Linked DNA regions of Alligator mississippiensis. The protein of the gene in region 1 binds, or shares a complex with, the protein of each later gene. Links are inferred from orthologs where the notes say so. Each region holds a gene or a part of one and is shown on either strand. Other genes may lie near its edges.

Region 1 (7,377 bases):
AAAAGGTTCAGGCCCCTTGCCGTAACAGTGACGGAAACCCTTAAATTGAAATGGTGGGTTTCAGTTAAAAACCCACCATTTCAATGTAGGGGGCATAGAATGCAACCCTAAGGACTAAACCCCCCTATATGTACAAGTGTCCTTTGTGTGTAGGGAGCTCAATACCTTCAATGACATCGCTCCCACAGTGTTCAAAGGAATCAGTAATAGCAGCTGGGAGTCTGCACATTGCATGAGCAGGGCAGCTCAGGCAGCCTATTCTTATCAGGGAGGGACAGTAATCTAGCCAGGCCTACCCATCTCTGCACCAACAGCAACAGCAAGGAGTCACTGCAGCAGCCTGGCTCAAGCCAGCTGTTATGCCAGGGCAGCTTTCCAAAGGAACTGCCTGGTACAGCAGAATACCTCGTGCTAGCCTCGTGGGAGACTGAGAGACCGGCCTCTTTGAATTTAATTCCACTGCTTTTCTTATTCTACAAATAAAAATCCACTATGACTGTTTTTTTGGGCCCTGGTTACAGACTAGCTGTACCTGTACAGTTGTCCTGTCAAGCTTCTTTGGTAACTTCCATGAGTTACTCCCTCCTCTGGGGAATGTTGGCAGCTCAGCTGGCCAGCAGTGGTGCTACGGCCTGGAAAAAATGAATCTGCACAAGCTTTCAATTGGGAAAAATAACTCTGGAATTTGGTGACCTCTCCCCTCCCTTCTATGCTCCAACTCATCTTTCAGGCAGGCGGGGGCAGGAAACCCTGAGCTCCACCTCACTAGCAGCTGGGCTGGGTATTGTGAAGTCCTTTTTTATAAGCCTGACCCCACAAACCAGCTTAATTCTGATTTGAATTGAAGGAATAACAATGGATCTGAAGCAAACCAAATTTCATTAATGCTGTCACTCTCTAAACTATGTGAGTCATTCAAACAAACTGCCCCTTTCTGGGAGGGTTGTATTGCTTTTACTGTCCCTCTTCCATGCGTTTTCTTAGTTGCAGCTGCCGCTATAGACACTGGAGGCCAGGGCAGTGATATGAAACTTCCCTTGGCTCCCACAGAGGCTTTGCCCAACCAAAGTCTACTTTCCTGGACCCTATGTATGTGGTAAGATTCAGGTTCAAGAGTGAAGGAATAAGTGTGAACAGCTGATAACACTTAAATGCGAGATCTGTACATGAGGAAAGCAGGGACAAAGTGAGATGGAATGGGTTTTATTGGTTGGCTTGTTAATTTTTTCCCCTGAACGACAAAAGAAACCTTTTGAAAGAGCCAGGGTTTTATTCTAGTGCCACCACCCTGTACTCACCCACGCAGCTCTCCTTCTAAATGGAATGTTACATTCGCTGCACCCACCAGGGTTTGTGATTCAGGCTGCAGAAGGGGTGAACAAAGCAGTCCTTGAAGGGTGGATCTGCTTAAAGACAGGTGAGGGCTGGAGTCTTTTACTGTTGTTCTTCACAAGACTGATTTCTGTGTGCAACCTCCACCATCAATATGATTGCACAGGGTGCACAGAAGTGAGCCCATAGCACTGATAAGTGCTGCACAAAGTGGGGTATACAAACCCCCAATATAGTAATAAACAGCTTGTGAGGGACCTGAGAGTGGTTGTTCAGAGAAGGACAGTAGCTATGATACCTACTGCCTGAACATCGTCTTTATGTTGATGTAATACTTCTCTATTGGGCCCCATTGCCCTGCTTCAACCAGTTTGTATCCTGCGTCAGGAGTGCCCTGTGGAAGGCCAGGAACCTCCTGTTGCACAGGCAAATGGATGTAGAGGTAGCAGGCTGCGTGAAAATGGCTCTGAGCGAACTCTAGACCTACTACCAGAAATCGGTAGTAGAGGATGGAGAAGACGCTGCCAAAGTCACCTGGCACAGAGACATGTGGCACAGGGTCATCCAACATCCCCCGAGTGGAGAAGGGGGCGGTGGCAGCAAAGAAGAGGAAGGGAGAAGCGGAACAGAGGACAGTGACCACAGCAGCGGGTCCTCTAGCAGGAGCTGGAGTGACAGCAAGAGAGAAGACACTTGAACTGAGTATGTGACCCTGCAAGAGGGGCAGGGATGGAAAGGAAGTGTTGCCTGGTCTGAGGGACCAGGATATGCTTTTTGTTTGGCGTGTGTTGCGCATGATGTGGATATTGTAACGGGTTCAGGTGGCCAGTGGGCCTTTGTACGGGTGCATGAGCGCGTTTTTTTGTAACTTGTGAAGGTTTTTTTTTCTTTTTGCGGTGTGATATGCGGAGTGTAGATATATATAATCTTAGAGAGAGGGAGAGGAAGAGAGAGAGAGAGAGATTTTTACAAAAAACAAACTTCTCTATTGGGTGCAAGAAGGCAGTTTTCCTGAGCCACTTGGCAGGAGAGATGCTCTTCTGGCTGATTCAGTACCCACCGAGGTGCAGCAGCTTTAAGCCCAGCATATGGAAATGGCAGTCTCCTCCCTTGCTTGCTCCCAGGACCTTATGGCTGAGGGCAAGCAAAACTTGAAGGTATCTGAACCCCAAGCCTCCGGGCTTGGGCCTGCATGTAGGATGCCCACCAAAGGTTTAGGAAACATCTGAAGCCTCAGGTGCAGGTGGAGGATATTTGCCGGTAGTAGGGTCATTTATGGTTCGACTCTTGGATTTGGAATTAGTTTTGGCTAATTTGGCCTTGGATACAAATTACATTTAAAAAAAATACTTCTCTATTGGGTATGCTGGGCTTGCTTGTGATTTAGCAAACTTTCCACATGACCTGGCAGCACAAGCACCCAATGGCTTGAGAGCCAGAACAGCAGAGGGCCTTCATTCATTGCATTACAGTATGTTGGAGAAGAGCGCAGAGCACTGACTGGGTTAGGATCCATGAATCAAAGCTTCAGCTGTTGGCTCCACCACAGACTTTGTATAATTTTGGGCAAAGCACATTAATGTCTCTTTGCCTTAGTTGTCTTACCTGTAAAATGTAGATCCTTCCTCCATCTTCTCTATTTAGATTTTAGGCTTTCCAGGGTAAGGACTATTCTGTACAGTGATTGGCACAATGGGATTGTGATCTTTAGGCAATAATGTAATTAACAATAATAGAGGTAATTGCAAATATCTTGTCATCTGGGACTGCAGGAAAGACAACAGAACAATGCATTATTTGTGGGGGCAGGGTGGAGAGACGGGAGAGGGATTATGCATGCTATTTGCATAGTAAACATTCAGTTTGCTGTTTTTCCTGGGTATTCTGTAGAGCATTGGTAGAAAAGATTCAAGGCTCCCTTCAAACATTTCGTACCCTGTCAGGAGGAAAGATCTTACATTTAATTAATGATCCTCCAGTTCCATTGATGCTTCAGTTCCCAAGGAGCCCAAGGTAAAATACCAAATACAGGAATGGCCCATTCCTTTTCAAGTGCAAACTTGTTCAGAGTAAAATGCAGAAAACAAAGGCTTCATATTCCATACAATCTGCATATACATCACATTTAGCATGTATCAGGGATGTCAGACTCACTTGACTCCCAGGCTGGTTTTTGAACTGTAGGGCTCCTCATGGGCTGGATCCAGGCTTACCTCTGGTGGTAGGGCAAGCAGCAGTGGCATTAGCCACTACAGGTTCCTGAGCCACATACACTCATTGTTTGCCCCTCCACTGCTGATAGATGTCCCCATTAGGACACTATGCTCCAGACTTTGGCGGTGGGCCCCACCTCACCTCCTTATTTCTGGCCCCTACAAGAGCCCCACAGGCTAGATGATATGGTTTCATGAGCCTGTTCTGGCCTATGTGCCATACCTTTGACACCCCTGGTCTTGACCATGAAGGCTTGTGTGTTGGTGCTAAAGTCCTTGGTTTTATTCCTGCTGACAACTCATGCCATTGTTCATGAATACGTGATGCACCATAGGGGATTTGAGCTGCTGAGGACTTCAGAATAAGTTTCCCTAGCAGTCAAAGTGTGCCTCGCAGTGGCTAAATGTGTTGTCCCCCCCTCTGACAAGCTGGCACACAGGGGCAAATTAAGAGCCTATGGCTGCTCTTCCTGACAACTAAGTCAAATGGCAGAGGTCCATGCTTTGGAGCAAAAATACCCCAGGATCTGTTCCACAGAGTGGGGATTATTATATTGGCTCGTGTAAGCTCCCTCTTTAAGGGAATGAACCTTTCTAAACCAGACAAGCTGCTTAAGAGGCTATGGTTGGGAGCGTCCCAATGAGGAGGATTCTGCCTTGCAAGATACACTGCTGGAAACAATAGACTCATCCGGGCACCCTGCCACTGACTCAAATCACAAGAGGGGCACCAGGAAGAAGCTGCATCTTTAAGCACTAGCCACGCCTGCTTTCACTGTTGGGTTTTTTTTGTTTCTCTCCGATGAATCACGCCCTGGTCTGGCTCCACACACTGCTGCTGCTGCTGTTTGCTTTAGGTCTCAGATGTCCCTCTGCTGAGCAGCAGGAAGGCTCGCATTTTTATGTTACCCGCAGAAGCAGCAGCAGCAGCAGAAGGCAAACATGTCTGGTATTGCAGCTAAATTAGCCAAGGACAGAGAAACAGCAAGGGGCTTAGGCTCCAATGAAAAAGCCATTAAATACCTCAATCAGGACTTTGAGACTCTGAGGAAGGAGTGCCTTGAGGCTGGGAAACTCTTCCAAGATCCATCCTTCCTTGCAGCTGCCTCCTCTCTGGGGTACAAAGAACTGGGACCAAATTCATACAAAACTCAGGGCATCGTATGGAAGAGACCAACGGTAGGATAATGGGCCCTGTGGGGAGGGAGAAAGGGAGATCAAAGGTGAACACCAAGTGATACAGTTACTGTATGTGCTTGCTTGGCTGAAAGCGGGGAGGTTGCAGTGATCACAGTGGGAATTGCTGTGGGTGGAGAAGTCAGGTATAATGGACCAAATTGGGCAGGACTGTGTGGAAATAACTCAATGCATTGGAGAATCCAACCTAAGTCTTCAATCTTGTCTCTCTCCCTAGTGATGGGCCACACCCAAACCAACCTCTGGCATAGAACTACCCCAGGCTTGGGTCTGGATCTACATTTATTATCTTGGGCCCATTTTTAGCAGGATAAGTACTAAATCAAACCTGACTGAGTGATAGAAAATGTTGTCCTGAAACAGAGGCTGAGAGTTCCCTTGTCTTGAAGGGCCCCCAGATAAATAGCAGTACTTGATTGTGTGCCATGTGCAGCTATCGCTGGAGGAGAAATACAACTTCTCTAAACTGCGGCACGCCACAGTGAAAACCTAGCTATTGATTGCGAATGTTTCCAAGAAAGTACAGTACTGACTTCTGCAGTAGGAATGTGCTGCCAGAGGACCCAGGGAGGCACTTGAGAGGTGTGTGGTGCTGTCACACAGCCAGGACTTGAGCCTGGAGATGTAGGAAATTAGGAACTCCATGATGTATAGAAACAGGCTAATCTCAGACGCCTCAGAGGTTTTGTTCGGATTTCTCCAATGCTCTTTGTTATAGAAACCTAGTTGGAAAGTTGGTAGGAAATTTGGGACTCTTAGGACTTAAATACTGAGGCACAAAAATGAAAATGAAGATTCAGTGGATTTTTTCGAATTGTAGCAAGATTCAGTTCAGTCTGAGCGAGCACCTAATTTACTTCTGAAGGAGATTTAAGTCAGAGCAATTGCTGAAGTCAGTGGAGCTACATGGGTAAAATTGATGCGAGTGGAGAATCACTCACAAACTTCTTATTTTAGTCGACTGCTTTGCTCATCCTGAGCTCAATACAAGTAAACATTTTTTTCCCTGTAAACTGGAAGCCAGTAGTTGAAGCCAGCCAGTTATGTTTATTTTCAGTGCAAGTATTCCAGGAAGTGAAAGGCATGTAAGAAAAACCACATTCATTTTTCTCTGTGCGCCCTCAGTGCTTTCCTATATATATAGCGTTGCATGTGCACACACATCTAGTGCAGGGACTTATACTCTTCTAGTGCCAGCCGGCTGTTTTGGGATGTGAGTCGATCCATTTGTCCACATTTCCTTCTTGACTATAATTTGTTTGGATACAGCTGGTGTAAGTAGGTATGAATCTGTGCCCAGCTCTTGCAAATTATCCCTGCCCTGAGCACCAAGCTCTGCACTCCCATAGGTCTCTTGTAAAATATACCTGTCAGGTTTTAGAAGTGCTGCAACGGGCTTTGCCCTTCTCAGAACTTGTACTTTTCCTGTGCCCCGAGCACTCGGGGTTGCTTGTGCCACCCTCCATTTTCTAAGTCACCATGATTTCAATTCAGTTTTCCCAGTCACACTGCCTTCTCCACCCCAACTTTTGAGCTATGCTTCCCTCTGCTTTTACTAATATAGAAAGGCAGCTGGGCAAACCCCCACCCCTTGCAAATCTTCCCCCAACAAAAAAACACCACAACCTAGTAGTACCCCGTCCCACCATGTTCAGCGCTCCTCCTCTGCATTTGAATAAAGCTGTGTACATTTGAATAAAGCTGTTCTAAGTGTCAGTCAGAATTCTGTGCCTTTGCAAAGGCCCTGATTTAGCCTTTGCATAACACATTTTAAACTCAAAAGAATTGCAAACAGGAAGGAATTTGGTCCAAAGACCATTGAAACAAGTCCAAGAACAAATGGAAAAATCTTCAGAGGCAGGAGCCCGATAACTAGAAAATGCAGTCAAAAGGCACTTTTGTGACAGGGCTGGTAGCCTAGGGCATTGGCGAATTCTATTTCTTCAGGAAGGAAAAGAATAAACTTCACCTGCTGTTTTGCCTTACAGCCTAAAATTCCCGGATAAACGTGTTTGCTTTGGTACAGGTCACAACCCATGCAGGCATTACATTTCTACCAGGAAAATCTTAGCTGTCCTGGTAGAAACCATGAGCATATAGGCATTCACAGAGTTTCTCCCAAAACAAAAATGGTGTTTCCAGGAGAAAAAATAATCCATCTCTGATTCTGTAGAGGTCACTCCTGGGAGGATTTCTCCCAGGGAATGAAAGCCTATACACTTCACTGCCACCTGACTCCTTCAGGGACCAGGAGGGACTGAGCAGTGAGGAAACACTTCCTACATCTAGACCAGGAAAGGCAAGGGAGCAGCTGGTGCCTGCCTCCTCCTAGTCCAAGGAGTAGTCAAGTAGTGGGGAAAGGCTCCCTGCTTTCCCTACACCAGGGTTACTGGGAGGGGAGGAACAGCTGCTGCTTTCTCCCTACCAGCTCTCTCTCACCAGGGTCCCGGTGTGAGGTGTGGGCATGGGACTTTGCCCCATTGCTCCAGTACCCCTGGGAGCAAGAGAACTGGAGCAGTCATTGCTCCCTATGCTTTCCCCAGACTGGGATCACCCTGGTCTAAGGAAGGTGAAGAGACAGGGGAGAGGGGATGGTTGCAGGCTAGATACCTGTACTGCTCCCTCTCCCGGAAAC
Region 2 (7,917 bases), on another chromosome or scaffold:
CTCCTACCAGCATAGCACCCCCTCTGCCCCCCCTCCATGCCCCCAGCATAGCACCCCCAGGCCTCCTCCCCAGCACAGCACCCCCTGCTTCCCCCCCCAGCAGAGTGCCCCCTGCTACCCCGGGTTCGGTCCCCGCCAAGCTGGCCGGTCTGCGGGAGCTGGAGCTCACAGTAGCCCCTCAACCACACCACATGGGGGGGGCACAAGGGTCTGTGGTACACCCCCTTGATCCCAGCCCTCCCCCCCCCAGCTTACCACCATGAGAGGCCACTCGGAGGCAGAGATGTACTGGTACACGGGATGCTTCATCTGGACTTGGACTGGGGAAGGACCGGGGGGCAGTGTTATTATTGGGGGGGCAAAGACCCCAGCCCCACTTCTCTGCCAGGGATGCGGCCCCCCCAGCAGCAGACCCATCCCTCCCAGCTTCCATAGCACAGCAGGCTCACGCCCCCTCCCAGCACTTACTGGAGATCTCCCAGCCGGCAGGGGGGGGTGGCTCCTCGCTCTTCCCCTTCAGTTTCAGGATCAGCACGTAGGGCCCGTCGTCCCACGTCCTTGCTGTGGTGTCCACCTGGGGGGGGATGCAGAAGCCCAAGTTACCCTCCGGGGTGGGGTCAGGGGGGCATAGAGCCCCCCCTGGCCCTCCCCAGAAGCTCGGCACCCCAGCCCCCAACCTTGGATTTCTCCTGGGCTCCAGACAGCGCCACCTTGGCCTCCCCACGGCTCTGGTTTCGCTTCCCTATCATGGCGGGGGGCTCAGTTGCTCGAGTGGGCACCAGCTTCTGCCCTTCGACCTTGTCCTTGGGGGACTTCTCACCCTGGGGGGCCAGGGCTTCCCTCCGCTGAATGCCCACGGGCTGCTGGAGAGAGAGAGAGCGGTACCTTTGCCTCAGTTTACCCCACCTGGAATCCAAGCTTCGCCTCACCCATCCACTGGGCGGTTACAGCAACATCCACGCATGAAAACAGCTTGTATTCAAGCTGCCTCATTACCATATTTCCCCGTGTACCAAGTGCCCCCCCATAAGCCCCACCCCTTGTTTTTGGAAAGCAGCACAGAGGGAAACGAGATGTTTCCAGAGGCACAGCCTGGTGCCACAGAGGAAGTTCTCCTGGAAAGACAGAGCGTCCAGGAAGCGTGTGGCATCCCACAAGACTGGCAGTAGACACTTCCTGGACAAGGGAGGGCTGGGGGGAGGGCAGTGGTGCAGTCGTACCCCGCTCTGATTCCTGCCCCAGCCACGCTTGAAGAGCAGCTGGTTGGCAGAGGCAGTGGCTCATAATCCTGATTCCTACTAATCCTTTTACCTCCCAGGGGGTTAATGAGGTGCTCACACAAGACAGGTGAGCGGTACATGAAGAATTACGGTAACGTAACGCGCTTCTTCTACTCAGCCCCTGGCTGCCCAGAGAAGCAACTTCTGCACTAAACCCCCCTCCCAGCGAGGCCCCTGGTCTGCCACAGAGACATGCAAAAGGGGGGGGGGGGCAGCATGGGAAGATCCTGCCCCCGGGACTCCCTAAGGGGGAGAGTCGTTAACAAGGGGGTAAAGCCAAGACCCACCTTCTTCCCGCTGCTGGTGCTTTCCTTCAGCTGAACCCTCTGGGCATGCAAAGCAAACAGGGGTGTGAGAGAGGCCCCAGGGCAGGGATCCCACTGCTTCCACCACATACATCAATGCTGCAGGGCGAGGAGGGGGGTGGGGGGTGCACTGGCCTAGGTGGGGGAAGCTGAGGCAGGGCAGGGAGGAGCTGGGGCTGCTTCCCAGTGGGGGCCAGGGCCCAACGGGTTTAACATGAAGCTGGTTGAGGTGAAAGAAGAAGCCTGGAGGAGCCCCCAAATGCATCCCATGCATTGGGCTCCCCTTCAAGCTCTGAACAAGCCTGACCCAGCTTAGCTTGGGAAGCCTGACAGGCTAGGAAGCTAATTACAGCTGGCTCGTTAACACCCAGCCAGCACCACTCCCACCCCAAGGGCCAGAGGCAGCAGGGAACAAGGCGGGAGGGGGGACGCGGGCAGGACTCGGACACCCGAGTTCCCTACCTTGGGGTCACTGTAGGGCTTCAGCCGGGTGGGGGAGGGCAGTCGCTCCGTGCTCAGCTGGAGGAAGGGCACAGAGGCTCGGTGAGAAGAGCAGCAGGTGCCGGGGGGGGGGGCGGTGTCGTCCCCCCGCCCCCCCCACGGCCAGGGACCCCCGCCCCCCCGGCTCGGCTCTCACCTCGTGGCTGGACATGTGGCTGCAGTTGAGGAGGGGGAAGTGATGGAGCACGTACTGCCCGGCCCCCCCTGGCACCAGCTCGCGGTCGGGGTTGGCCAGGTAGAAGCCTGCTTTGTTCTCCTGGGGGCGGGGGGGAAGGGTGTGAGACGGGGGTGCAGGGAGAGCGACCCCCCCAAGCCCCACCTCCCTCTGAAAGAGCCCGGGAGTCTTCCCAACCCCCCCCCCCCGACCCCGGCCGGGGGGCTCACATTGAGGGCGACCTCGTCGTGACAGCGGGAGCTGCGCAGGTACCAGGTGACGTTCAGGCTGAGGCCGTGGGGGCAGGACAGCACCACTGTTAACGAGGGGCTGGTCAGTGACCCCCCGCTGCAGGCACCCCCCAACCCGCTCCCGTGCTCTGCTTTCTGCCCCATCCCATGCTGCTTCCTAGCCCCTGCTCTGCTTTCCGCTCCCTGCCCCTCGAGGCGCCGGCCGCAGCGCTCACCCTTGATGACGGACTGGTCGAACATGGTCTTGGGGAAGATGAACAGCCGCTCCGTGAGGTTCTGGGGGCAGAGACGGGCAGGATCAGGCCTCTTGCTCGGGGGGGGGTGGGGGACGGACACACGCACACACTCCTGGGTCCCATTCCCAGCTCTGCTCCACCCCGCCGTGTGCCTCAGTTTCCCCCACCAGGATCTGGCCCTGCCAACAACCCCCCCAACCCCCCCCCCGCAGCAGGACGCCTGGCTTGGGGGCGTATCGCTGGGCAACTGGAGGCTACCACCCACTTATGCAAATGAGCCAGCAATAAATTTGCATGTTAAACAGGCAGTGATCTCCCCCAAAGATATGGTAGAGAAATTTCTGACTTCCCACAATGCCCTGGGGCAAAGCAGGCTTCCTGCTGTCTCTCCATTCCCACATCTATAGGGGCCTGGGACAGCCCTCCTCCTATAGAGCCCCTCCCTCGCAATGCAACCGGGACCCTCTCTATACGGTACGGAGAGCGCCTATATGGGGCCACGTCCGTCGGTGATCGAAGCGAGGGGTCCTTGTCTATAGGTGAGTGGGGGGGTCCACTCCTATAGCAGACTGGGGGAGTCCATGTCTACAGGAGACTGGCAGGGGGAGTTCCTTATCTATAGGGGATGGGGGGGCAGTTCCTTGCGTATAGGGAACATGGGGGGTGTTTATGTCTATACAGGATAAAAGGATAGTCCTCGTCTATAGGGGACTGAGATAGGAAACCATCTTTGTCTATAAGGGACCGGGGGGGGGGTCCGTATCTGTAGGGGACTGGGCGGTGTCTATAGGGGACCACGCACAAGGTAGATCCTGATCTACAGAGGGATCGGGGGATGCACGTCTATAGGGGACCAAAAAGGGACCTATATCGATAAGGCACCAAAAGGAGGGGACGTCTCCATTAGGGACCATGGGGGGGGTTGCCTATAGGGGATGGGGGGGGTTGCCTATAGGGGACCAGGAAGATCCTTCTCCATAAGGAACTGGGGGGGGTCCATGGCTACAGGGGACCAAGGGGCAAGTGCCTGTCTATAGGGGAGGGGGTGTCTCGTGGGGGTCCAGGTCTATAGGGGCCGGGGGGGGGCTAGAGGGGAACACCCTCGCCTATAGGGGCCGGCGGGGGGGTCGCTCCGGGTCGCGACCCCCGCCCCCGGGGCCCACGCCCACGTGCGCGCTTGTGGGCGGGGCCATGTCGCGCCAGGCCCCGCCCCGTCGCGCCAGGCCCCGCCCCCGGGTGACTCACGAGGGTGGCGCCGAGGTCCCAGCGGCCCGGCTCGGCCCCAGCCCCGCGGCCCGGCCCGGGCAGCGCCAGCGGCAGCAACAACGCCACGACCCGCAGCACCCGGCACGGCCCCGCCGCCGCCATCCTCTTCCGGGCGCGTCACGGCCGGGGCGGGGCCAGCGCGGGCCACGCCCCCTGCTTCCGCCGGGAAAGACCCGCCCCCGCTTCCGGCGATAAGCTCCGCCCACAGCCCCCTCCAGGGACCGGCGTCAAGTGCGGGCCGCGCCGAAGAGGGATGCCAGGTCCGTAAGGGACCGGGGCAAAAGTGCCGCCCCGGGGGAAAAGCGAAGAGCTTGCCCCCGCCCCCCTCCAGCGGGCCTCAAGGGACCGCGGCAAAGTGCCGGCCTGGCAGAGGGGCCAAGACCCTTCATTTTACCCTTATTTTACCCGTCTTTAGGGACCGGGGCAAAGAGCCCCCCCACAGCCCGCCCCTGCACCCTGATGCCAGGATCGGGCCCCGGACCCCTGGGGTCTCCCCCCCCACCCTCCCCGCCGTGCCTCAGTTTCCCCACGTGCCGGGACTAAAGCGATGCCCCCCCTTCCCCAGCTCGGGGGCTGCGGCGCGGGAAGGGTTAACGCTTTGCCTCGCAGACCCCGCGGGAACCGACCACGTGGGCGATGACGCACAGCCCCACCCCCCCATGCCAAGTGGCTGAGTCAGAGCCCCCCCCCCCCCCCTTGGGGGGCCCGATCCGGAGTCCGGCCGGGTCTGCTCTAACCACTGGCAATCCTCCCCCCCCCCCCCCCAAGTCCGGCCCGCGGCAGTGTGGGGGGTGGGGCAGGACGCCGGGTGCCCGGGGGGCGGGGCGGGGCAATGGGGGGTGGAGCCGGACGCCGGATCCGGGAGCAGGGCCGCGGGCGCTAGGACCCGGCGGCGGCGTGATTGGCTCGGGCGTGGCAGCCCCCCCGCCCCCCGCACGGCCCGAGCGGAGTCGAGCCGAGCCGTGCTGAGCCGAGCCGAGCCGAGCCGAGCCGCGCAGCCCCGACCCGCAGGTACGCGATCCCGGGATCCCTGCCCCCCCACCCCGCAGTACTACCCCGCACCGGATCCCCCGGAATCCGGGGGTTCTCTGCGCAGTGGATCCCTGGCCCCCCCGGATCCCCCGCCCGATCTTTCTTCCGGGATCCCCCGCTTTTGCTCCCCGATCCCCGCCTCCTCTCTGCACGCGACCCCCCCCTATCCCCAGCATAGAGCCGATCCTAGTGGATCCCCCCCCGGCACCCTCCTGTTCTCCTGTCGCACTGGATCCCTTCCAAGGGATCCGCCGTTACCCGCACCAGATCCACCCCATGGCTCGTGGGGGGACGGGACAGACCCGGGGATCCGCTCCCCTCTCTCCAACGGGGGAGGGGTGGCAGGGATCAACCCCCCCCCCCCGGCCTCATGGCGGGGATCTAGTGATCCCCTCCCCCCCGCCGCTCCCTGCAGCCGACGCCCCGAGTCATCCCGCCCTGGGCTGCGGCTGCGGCCGGGGCGGAGCTGGGCGGACGGGATGGGGGGGCAATCCTGGATCGGGGAGGCAGAGGGGGTCCCGGAGCCCCCCCCCAGCACCGACAGTGTTTTGTTTCCAGGAAACGGGGCATCCTGCCCCCCCCCCGCTGCCGAGCAGGGCTCTAACCACTCCTCCCCACTCCCCAGCCCCGGTGCACCCCCCAGAGAGCCCGGGGGGCCAGGCCGGCGGAGCTGACCGGTGCCTTTGCCTTGCAGCCGGTGCCCAGCTGAGCCCAGCGCCATGTTCCTGGTCAAGAGCTTCCTCGGTGGCGGCGGCGGTGGAGGAGGAGGCGGCGGTGGCGGCGGCGGCATCGGGGGCAACATTGGCAACGTCATCGGGGGGCTGCTGAGTGGCGGTGGGGGTGGGGGCGGAGGCCGGGGCGGCGGCGGTGGCGGAGGAGCCATGAACTTCCTGGGGGGAGTCATCAGTGCCATCAGGTGAGTGCTAGAGGGGGAGAGCCAGGTAACGTGCACCCATTTTCCAGGTGGGAAAACTGATGCATGAGGCCCAGCAATACCCCCCTGTTGTTCAGTTGGGGGGGATGGGGGACTGAGGTACGGGGCAGGACAGCACTTAAGCCCAACACCCTCTCCCCCCAGGGGTGAGGGGGAGGCCAGCCTGCGGACCCCCGTTCAACGTGGGGGGGGGCTGAGACCTGGCAAACTCATGGCAGGCCTGGCTGGAGCCTGGCAGCTGTTCAAGGAGGGATTTCCTCCTCACCCCCCCTCCCCCAGCTGGCAATGAAACGCACCCATTTCTGGGGTGGGGCCTGGCCCGGGGCTAGGACTGTTCCTGCTGGCTACCCCCCAGGTCTCTGGGTGGGGCTGGGTTGGTTTCAGCATGGGGGGGCGGGGGGCTCCGGTCCGCTGAACAGCCCCACCCTGCTTTGTCTCGGACTGGTTGGGCCGGGTGCTGGGATGCGCCCGCCTCTGGGGTGGGCCCTTGTGGCTGGTTGCACGGTGTTCCCCCCCCACTTGGCTCTGAAATGCGCCCACTTCTGGGGGGAGACTCGGCCTTTCTGCGCCCAGCACCAGGACCCAATCCCACTCCACCCCTCAGACCGACCGGGTCTGTCATGCCTCAGTTTCCTCTTCTGTCTCCCCCTCTGAACCTGCCTTGTCCGGCGCCTGAGGCGGGGGCTGGGCGTGGGGTTCATGTCTTCCTTCCCCCATGTAGTTTTCATCCTTTGGGGGAGTCGGGACCCCCCAGAGCCGGGCACAGCCTCTCTCCTGCTGTGTTTGCACAGCTCCGAGTGCGGCGGGAGGGGGCCCGATGCTTGTTGTAGCCATGGGGAAACTGAGGCATGGGCCTGGTCTCTCCTCACCGCTCCTCTCTCTCTCTCTCTCTCTCTCTCTCCCTCTCTCCCCCCACCCCGCAGTGAAGCGGCTGCCCAGTATAACCCAGAGCCCCCGGTAAGACCCAGTGACCTGCTGTGGACACGTGAGAGATGGGGTGGGGGGGGGTCCACCGGGGTCCTGGCATGTCTTGCCTAATGTGGGGGGGGGGTAAACCTGCTGTCCTGAGGACCCAGCCATCCTCCCCCTGTGCCCACAGCTGGGCTGCAACGTGGCGCGTTGTATGCGAGGAGGTACGGTAGGATGCAGGGTCCCTAGACCCCCCCCACACACACACAAGGTCCTCGCTACCGTATCTTCTAGTGTACCACATGCTGCCCCCCTCCCCCTTCCACATAAGACCTGCTCCTGATTTTTGAGCCCACCCGAGGCAGGAGCCTGTGAAATAGGAGCAGAGAGACTAGGGGCAGCCAGCGCCCCCCACCCCCCAGTTTTAGAAGGAGAATTTTTAATGAGGGGTGTGCATGGTAGGCAGGTAATTACAGTAAAGACTGGGGCAAGTTAAAAGGGGCTCAGATCCAGTGCACGGCCCCTTTAACCCCCTGTGGGGGTGTTGACCCCAGGCCCCCTCCCCAAGACCTTGACATCAGTGCCTGAAGGGATTGGGGGGGCGTCTGCGACCCTTTGGCGGGTGGGAGCTAGCCCCTCGTGGGCTTCATGCATCCCCAGGCAGGGGGAGAGATGTCCTGACACCCCCCATTGCCCCCGCAGCCCCCCCGCAGCCACTTCTCCAACATCGAAGCCAATGAGAGCGAGGAGGTGCGGCAGTTTCGGAGGCTTTTCACCCAGCTGGCTGGAGATGTGAGTACCTCCCCGGGCCCCCGCAGCTATGGGGCCCAGATGGACCCAAACCATCCCACAATCCTTTGCAAAAGGCTTCCCCTTCCACACCCTGCCGGGATGCAGCTGCTTCTGGGGTGGAGCTGGGCCCTGGGTTACACTGGGCAGCTGAGTGCAGCTGGGGGGGTGGGGGGCACTGGGGCAGGGGGTGACCCCCTTCTGCCCCCCCGGCAGGACATGGAGGTGAGCGCCTCGGAGCTGATGAACATCCTCAACAA
Region 3 (7,496 bases), on another chromosome or scaffold:
CTCTGTCATTAGTCTGGTTCCTTTCACTCAAGAGAGACCACTTGTTAATGCTGTTTTTAGTACCCTTATCTTGTTCTTAACTCTGCCCCCATGCTTTAGCCCTTCAGGTCAAAAACAGCCTAGTAGGCTCAACAGGATACCAATGCCAGAGTCCTCAGAACTAATATCTACCACATCCTCCCTTTACAACCCTCTAGTTTTTGCCAAGTGAGTTTTTACCTTGAACCAGCCTTTCCATATTATACCAACATATTCATGCAATAAACAGCCTCTTAATCAGGGTTATATACTGTATTCATAAACTCCAACTCTGTCAAAGGAGGACACAGCAAACACCTAACTTACAGCTGTTTTAATTGTTTTAATGTCTTGGATGAAGTCTAACATTAGCCCATAACATTTTTATATTATACTATATATAAAGTTAAAAAAATACAGCAAGCAAAATACTAAACTTTTCATTTTACAATTTACCTTGAATTTATGCAAAGTAGGCAAAGAGAAGAGATACCCATGGTGTACAATTTCAGTTTAAGACTTTCATCACTTTAACATGCTCTATACAGCGTACGAAAGTGCCAGAAAACATGCTCTTTGGTAGCCACACTCACCAACTCTACTTTCTCAACCAGCAAGATATACAAGATTTACAAAAACAAGTGACCCAAGTAAAAAGTTCTCCAGGCTCAAGGACAACATGCTAACAGTGAAACCAATAAACAACAAATCTAATATAAGCCCAAAAGGGAGGAAGTCCCAAAGCAAGGGGCTAGTGAAAAAAAAAAAAATCTATTATCCACTTCAAAAAGCCCAGTTCTTTTTTGAACCAGTTACCAACTAAAACCCAGCACGACAACTACTTCATGCCTTTTGCTTATTCCCCTTCTAAGTTTTGTATGTCTTTCCTTACTTAAGTTATAAGGTCTTCAGGGAAGAACTCTCTCTTACTAGGGGACTGCACAATATCTCACACAACAAGAGTCCAATTTCAGTTGGAGTCATTAAGGGTACTGTGATGCAAATATTTTTGATAATTGATTTCCCATGAAACATGAGTGCAAGTGATTTTCTGACCCTGAAACACATGCTTAGTTTGTTTTAGATTGCTTGCTTTTAGATCCAAAACTCAGTGACTCAGGACAGCAGGGACCCTCCTAGTTTTGTGTATGGATTTTACCGCATGTGTTAGCATTGCACAAAGTTTAATGCAATACTTGCACCTAAATCCAGCTATAACAGCCAACCCAACATCCAGCCCAACACCGGGACTCACAGTTCTAACCACCTTTCATTGACACTGGCTAACTGGTTTGAATTCTGACTCACAATTAGGATTGAGGCTGAAAACTGTTATAACTGTATAATTAGATATTTATGTTCCAGCAAACTCTTCGCAAAGCACATCTAATGTGTCCTAGGATCAGCAATGGTTGCAGGTTTTACTTTAGGAAATTAGTGAATTGAATGTTTGATGGCACAGACACCCTACAACTGCTTCCCTCTGTGACTGACATCAAATTAGAAAAAGCAGGCCTTTTGGAAGATGTAATTGAAGGTTTAGTCAGAGTAATCATTGGATGCTTAAGTACAGAATACAGATTATGCCAAAACTCAAAAACTTGTGGTTTACCTAGGGAGGTCCCAGAAAGATAGAAAGAGTCATTGTAGATCAAGGAACTCCCCACAGTTAGGAACAAGTTTACGAAGCCTATTATCACGCAGGAACTTACTCAGAAAAAGCCACCCAAAACTAACTCTGCCTTAACAACAAGATCTCTCATTTATTTCGGCTTCCCAAATGTTTTGGGCTAAAAGAGAATGAATGCAAGCTCTGTTATAAAGCTATGAAAAGCAGCAGCAAAACTTGTAAAGACAAATCTTTTTCATGTGACAGGTCTTTGCCAAAGTCTCACGTGAGACTTCATGGGCTCTGAAAAGACAAGACCCAACTTTAACAGGTTTTCTACCCAAAATAGGTGCAGGACCTTTGGCAAAACCAAGCCATGGCAAATACAAAAGGGGGTGGGGGGGAAGAGAAAACTGCACCTGAGCCCCTTTTACGCTTGACAAAACGGTGGCACTGGAGCCGCAGGATCCTTTCCGAGCTGCTAGATATCCCGCTCAACATCGGCTTTTAGCTTGAAAGACAAGAGGACGAAGGAACAGGCTACCCAGAGAGAGCTTGGGAGTCTCCATCCTCAGAGGCTTTGAAGATCCGAGTAGATGAAGCCCTGGCTGGGATGACCTAGCTGGGGCTGGTCCTGCTGAGAGCAGGGGGTTGGACTAGACCTCCCGACGTCCCTTCCAGCCCTCATTTTGTAGGGCTCCAGACAGCCGAGAGCGGCCTCTCCTCTGGGCGCAGGTCCGGAGCCAGGCACTAGGCGCCCGCGCCGCGCCGCATCGCGAGCCTCCTGGCACGGAGCCGCCTCCCCTGCGGCCTAGGTGTGCCCCGGCGGCCTCCGCCCCCAGCCCGCAAAGCGCAGCCCGGGTCTTTACCGTGGCGTACCACCAGCGTGCGAAAGCCATCGCCGCCCGCCGGATCGTCCTCGCAGCTGGAGCCGCAATGGGAGCACGGAGCCCAGGCCCAGCCCCGGCCCGCCCCACCCCACCCCACCCCGCCCTGCCCTGCCCTGCCCTGCAGCTACGGGCGGCGCGGCGCTACCCCGCCCCGCCCCGCCTCACACAGCTATGCAGGGCAGGGGCAGGCGCAAGGGCACGGACAGGGTGGGGCCGCGCGCGTCGCTATGGCTGCGGGAGGGGAGGGGCGGAGCTGCCCGCGCCCCACGGGCCGGGGTCGTCCTCCCCCTCACGCCCTGCGCCGGCTGCATGGGGGCGTCGCCGGGCTCGCCTCACGCCCCCTCGCCGCGGCGCCCCCCGCCCCGCCCCGCTCCGCTCACCCCCGGCGGCCGCGCGGCGGCGGGCCCCCGTTTCCCTCGGCCCGGCTGGGACATGTCTCGGCGCTGGCGGAGCGAGGCAGGAGGAAGCGGCGGGCTGGCTCCACCGGGCGTGAAGCGGTTTTTCCGATGCGCCCCGAGCCAGAGCTCCCCGCTAGTCCCTCCTCTTCCTGCGGGTGCTCCGCACCACTCCTCTTTCGGGGCCTCGCCCGCACCAGGCTGGGGGGGGGAGGGATGTGGCTGAGGGCAAGATGCCCGCTGGCGGTTTGTCTTGGCGAAGACACCAGCTCCCCGCTAGGCGACCTGAGAGCCGGCCTCAGTCGCTAGCAGAGACGGGACAGGAGTTGTTGCTTTCTCCTCCTCTCTCTGAGACAAAGCTCCGGCTTCATGACACAAGGCCACCCCCGCCCCCAACTCACCAACCTAGAAGTCGGATCCGATCGGCTGGTTTGTGTTAGGCCTGGCCTCACCTCGGAAAGAAACTTATCTTGGCTAGTTTTAGGGAAACGTTGCCGAGAAGATCGCTTTTCCTTCCTCCTATCCCACCTCCCCAAATGTCCGTGTTTTTTTTTAAAGTACCAAAATCACTCTAAAAACAGGAGGAAAACTAGATCTCTGCCCAGAGTTCAGACCGAACTTGGACTCTTTTCAAGACTTCGAAGGGAAAAAAAAGATGTTGAGAGGGTTACTCTTTCAGGTTTTACATCTCTTGCGCACTTTCCAGATTTAGTTCCCAGTGGAAATCCTGACATAAAACTTCTTGTGAGAAGCCAGGAGTTTTTTTGCAGGTACCTTTTATTGGATTGGCTGGAAAGTAGTTGGGGGAAGATGCTGGACAAGCTTTCAAGCATAACGTGCCCCTAACTTCAGACTTGTGGGGTAACCCCACAGCTCCAGGCTGTCTCCGCGCTGTTCTGCTTTGTGTTGCTAGAGCTTGAACCAGCTCTTGGTCGTGGGAGATCTCTCCTGCCAGCACATCTCAATCTCACAGCAGGACCGTCCCTAGGGGGGGCAAATCGGGGCAACTGCCTGGGGCCCCATGCTTTGGGGGGCCCACGCAGAGCTGAGCAGCCATGGCTCCTCCTGCAGGGCCCGCCTAGTGCTAGTGACTCCACGCCGCCACTTGCTTCATGTCCGGCTGCTTGCCACCCCCCGCCGCTGCCACCACCAGCTTCTTCACATCTAGGTCCCATGCAGACTGCTATTCCCTAGGTCCTGCACCCTTCTAGGGTTGTCACTGCTCACAGGCACTTTGACCAGACCTTATAGTTTGTGAAGGAGATCCAGCAAGGCCTTGGGGTTCCCTGGGTTTGTGAAAATAGGTCTGCTGGCCCCAAGGGACCAAAACATCTGCTGCTGCCAGCTGCTGCTGCAGAATCACTCTCGAGACAAAATGTAAAAGGAAAAGGCCACAACAGGTTTATAGGCAGACAAGGTTCTTGGGGTAAATCCAAAATCTTTTTTCAGACCAACTCAGATCATTGGAAAAATTCTTCTTAAGCTTTCGGGCACAAACCCCCTTCACCAGGCTGAGGAAGCATCTACAGATGGTCTGTGCTCTTCCTGGATGAAGTGAATGAAGAGGTCACTTTACCACTCCATCCAGGAAAAGCAGAGACCATCTGCACATACTGCCTCAGCCTGACGAAGGGGGTTTGTGCCCAAAAGCTAACTAAGAAGAATTTTTCCAACTATTTGAGTTGGTCTGATAAAACCTTGTCTGCTTATGTCCTTAGATCAAGACAGCTACAACCTACACCCCTGAAACCACAGGTTTATTGCCTGCAAGTCCTACTACACATTCAAATTAAAGCCAGATAGAAACTAACTACAGAGCTGTCACACAGTTTCAAGCACTATCTTTATAGCTGGTTGGCTCTTTTTATAGGTGGAGACTCATTTTTATGGTGTGATTAGTACTTTACACATGTAGCTAGTTTAAATTTATTGTGCCATTTGCCAGTTAATTGTGTGATAACTGCTTTGCACTTGTGGCCAGTCTTGCTTTGCACAGGTGACCAGTCTAAATTTATTGGGCAATTAACCAGTTAATTGCATAATATAAGTAATGTGTAGCAGGGGCTTAAGAGAAAAACATAGGGAAAAGATCTGGACACAAAAATACAGAAATAAAACAGAAATGCCTCACTATTCCCTTTTAACTTGAAATAGCTGCCTGGTCTTCTGCTTCAAACAGCTAGCAATCTGCCAACTTCTGGGGTGATCCTTCAACCTCCTTGCTCAGATCTGAAGTTTGGCACTTGGAGTCTTAAAGCTTGATTAACATTTAGGAGCATAACTAACAAGTTTTGCACACTGGGCAAAACGTCCCTGGGTGGCTGTCAGATTCTGAGCACCAGAAATTGAGGTTGGAGGAGAAAAGAAAGGAAAAAGGTCAGTCTTACCTACTCCAGGGACTCAAAGACTGCTGCTGCTGCTGCTGCCATGTCCCTGCACCTAGCCCCTACAGCCAGGGGCATGGACTGCTCTTGCCAGCAAAGTCTTGGGGAGAAGTTACCATTCCAGCACCAAATCCATCTAAATTAGATCCTGGGGTTAGTATCTCTCTCACCCCCTGCTTCTGCAGTTAAGCTGCTGCTAACCAGGGTTGCCAACTGTCAGTAAAACATCAGGCTAAAAATGGCTGTCAGTAAAGTCCACAAAAAACCAAACCATACTGGCGGAAATATAAGTGGGGGGGGGGGTCGACAGGGAAGTCCCATGTACAAATAAACTGAGGGCCTTCTTCTGACCGCACCCCATAGTAAAAACTAGCCACAAGCAAGAATTATGCCCTGTCTAAACTGTAGACAGCTTGAGTATGCAGCAGAGATAGGATGGTGGGTGGGATGGAAAGGAGAAGATAAAGGTGAGGGGATGTCTATAAGTAGTTTAATATATGAATTTAACATAAATCTTTTGTGTGCTCATCGAAAAAATAACTGGTCACAGCAACAGGTCTAACAGATTGTACTGCATTCCTGAGGCTGCAGTGCATAGGATACTCCCTGCTAGCACAGTACTACAGGAAGAGGACAGAACCTGCTTCAGTTCCACACCCTGTATTGCCCTGCTCTTGATAGCTGAAATTTGAGCTCTAGGACTGAAACCATGTGATAAGGCAAGACTATGAGAAACCCCAATAATTGAGGTCATTAGCCTATCAATTATTGATGAGTGGTCAATGTAAGTGCAAATCCCTTAGGCACATGCCTAACTAAGCATTAGAGCAATCCCATTGACAAGTTAGATGTGTATGTAAATAGTCAGACATCTCTCAGAGAGCCCATGGAGCCTTCCAGTTCATTAAATAGTTACTCAAATAGATCTCAACCTACCTCCAAAGTTGTATAACTAAAATGGTATTCATACGTTTGTTTATGTGTTTGGGTAAAACAGTATTTATATGCACAATACAAATGTATATTTTCTAAGTACAGTTATGTATCCCTAACTATGCTTATAACTGGACAGGTTCTGATGATTAAATCTAATCCCTTGCTGTTGCAAGCAAATACAACCTAGAAACTCTTTCATATGCTGATTGTAACAGGGTTCCACTCTAGGGGTGGCTGCAATGCCCCTGGAGCCCTCTTAGCCACTGTGTAGTCTGGCTGTCTTTGGGTATTCTCTCCTGCCACACCTTGATGTTATTCTCTTTTAGAAAAAGGGAGGCTGCCCCAGGGCTTCCCAAGCCTGATCTCATCTCATGAATTTAGGTTTCTGTGCTTACTGGCTTAAGGGCTAATTACATGGCTCCAACCTCCCCTTACACCACACTCACACCTAGCATATGTCAGGAGGAATGAGTGTCACGTGCCCCTCCTGGGCTATGTGATCCCAGCCCCAGTTCTCACCCCTCTCATACTAGAAGTACCTTGGCCCCCTTGGTCCCCAGTTGTGACCTCCTAGTCTTTGGCCCTTTTCTCTGGGCCCTGGCCCTACTCCTAGGCCAGTCAGGACTCATGAGCAGGGACCTGGGTTTGCCGTTTGCTTTGGGGAAACACAGATTTTCTCCTTTGAAGGAGAAAAGCGCAGATTTTCTCCTTTGAGGAAGAAAAATGCAGGAAACTGTGGGTTTCCATTTGCAGGCTGGCAGAGTTCCAGTCTGCAAGGGGCTTCTTGGAGCTGGAGGGAGCAGGATGCAGGGGGCAGGGAGTGCTATGTGCATGTGCACACACACACATGCACGTGGCAGCCAGGCAGTCTGGTGGAGAGCTGCTCCTTCCAGGTAAGTCTAAGCAGGCAGGAGTGGGAGGACACAGACAATGTGTAGAGGGGCAGGGGGGCACAGGCAACATGGTGGGAGGGAGGCAGAAGTAGGGTAGCGGTTATAGGCAACTCAGCATAGAGGCATAGACGATGTGGCAGGGGCCAGGGGGGGACCATGTGCTCTGCCAGATTTCTGTGCCCACAGCGAGGTGTGGGGCATGGGGTCATAGCCTGGCTGGACGAGGTCTGGGCAGGAGCTACCTCCACAGCCCAGTGAGCAGGACTTAGCATAGGAGGAAGTGCCATACCACCCTGACCACCAAGGTGAGGTGCACCCTGCCCACCTGGCAGCAGTGGGGAGCACAACTCCACACTGCTGCCACTGCTGCG

Evidence for each region.
Region 2: the proteins of CAPN2 (region 1) and CAPNS1 are in contact, whole or in part, in a crystal structure (PDB 1KFU), measured with the Homo sapiens proteins. The link is inferred for Alligator mississippiensis from reciprocal best matches to the Homo sapiens genes CAPN2 and CAPNS1. Residues at the interface, in NP_001739.3 of Homo sapiens: Ala2, Gly3, Ile4, Ala5, Lys7, Leu8, Ala9, Arg12, Glu13, Glu16, Phe60, Arg366, Arg416, Arg417, Arg418, Arg420, Asp494, Ile516, Phe551, Glu575, Lys578, Val581, Asp582, Asp585, Gly588, Ser589, Gly590, Gln641, Leu642, Gln644; in NP_001003962.1 of Homo sapiens: Thr85, His86, Ser88, Asp111, Asp112, Met113, Glu114, Ser116, Thr118, Asp142, Arg145, Ser146, Ala149, Val150, Met151, Asp152, Ser153, Asp154, Thr155, Thr156, Gly157, Gly160, Phe161, Glu163, Asn206, His208, Leu209, Met212, Ile213, Arg215.
Region 3: the proteins of CAPN2 (region 1) and CAST are in contact, whole or in part, in a crystal structure (PDB 3BOW), measured with the Rattus norvegicus proteins. The link is inferred for Alligator mississippiensis from reciprocal best matches to the Homo sapiens genes CAPN2 and CAST. Residues at the interface, in NP_058812.1 of Rattus norvegicus: Glu62, Leu63, Ser68, Lys69, Gln99, Gly100, Ala101, Leu102, Gly103, Trp106, Lys161, Asp162, Leu165, Leu166, His169, Ser196, Gly197, Gly198, Thr200, Ser241, Asp243, Ile244, Thr245, Asp249, Ser250, Glu251, Ala252, Val253, Val259, Lys260; in NP_445747.2 of Rattus norvegicus: Glu571, Leu572, Asp573, Ala575, Leu576, Asp577, Glu578, Leu579, Ser580, Ser582, Leu583, Gly584, Gln585, Arg586, Gln587, Pro588, Leu596, Asp597, Asp598, Lys599, Val600, Lys601, Glu602, Lys603, Ile604, Lys605, Ala606, Glu607, His608, Ser609.

What each region holds. Positions count from the first base shown.
Region 1 is NC_081824.1:181,599,477-181,606,853, reverse strand, and holds the start of CAPN2 (calpain-2 catalytic subunit), read left to right. Parts: upstream 1-4,342; 5' UTR 4,343-4,487; coding exon 4,488-4,724; intron 4,725-7,377. UniProt on the Homo sapiens protein: Calcium-regulated non-lysosomal thiol-protease which catalyzes limited proteolysis of substrates involved in cytoskeletal remodeling and signal transduction. Proteolytically cleaves MYOC at 'Arg-226'.
Region 2 is NC_081838.1:1,007,803-1,015,719, forward strand, and holds the start of CAPNS1 (calpain small subunit 1), read left to right. Parts: upstream 1-4,894; 5' UTR 4,895-5,004; intron 5,005-5,719; 5' UTR 5,720-5,744; coding exon 5,745-5,941; intron 5,942-6,882; coding exon 6,883-6,916; intron 6,917-7,570; coding exon 7,571-7,660; intron 7,661-7,873; coding exon 7,874-7,917. Other genes in the region: transmembrane protein 87A, read right to left, coding at 256-320, 469-574, 678-863, 1,568-1,606, 2,048-2,104, 2,223-2,342, 2,471-2,556, 2,707-2,767 and 1 more. UniProt on the Homo sapiens protein: Regulatory subunit of the calcium-regulated non-lysosomal thiol-protease which catalyzes limited proteolysis of substrates involved in cytoskeletal remodeling and signal transduction. Essential for embryonic development.
Region 3 is NC_081826.1:238,529,137-238,536,632, forward strand, and holds the start of CAST (calpastatin), read right to left. Parts: upstream 3,057-7,496; 5' UTR 2,952-3,056; coding exon 2,898-2,951; intron 2,601-2,897; exon of another isoform or gene 2,527-2,600; coding exon of another isoform or gene 2,497-2,526; intron 1-2,496.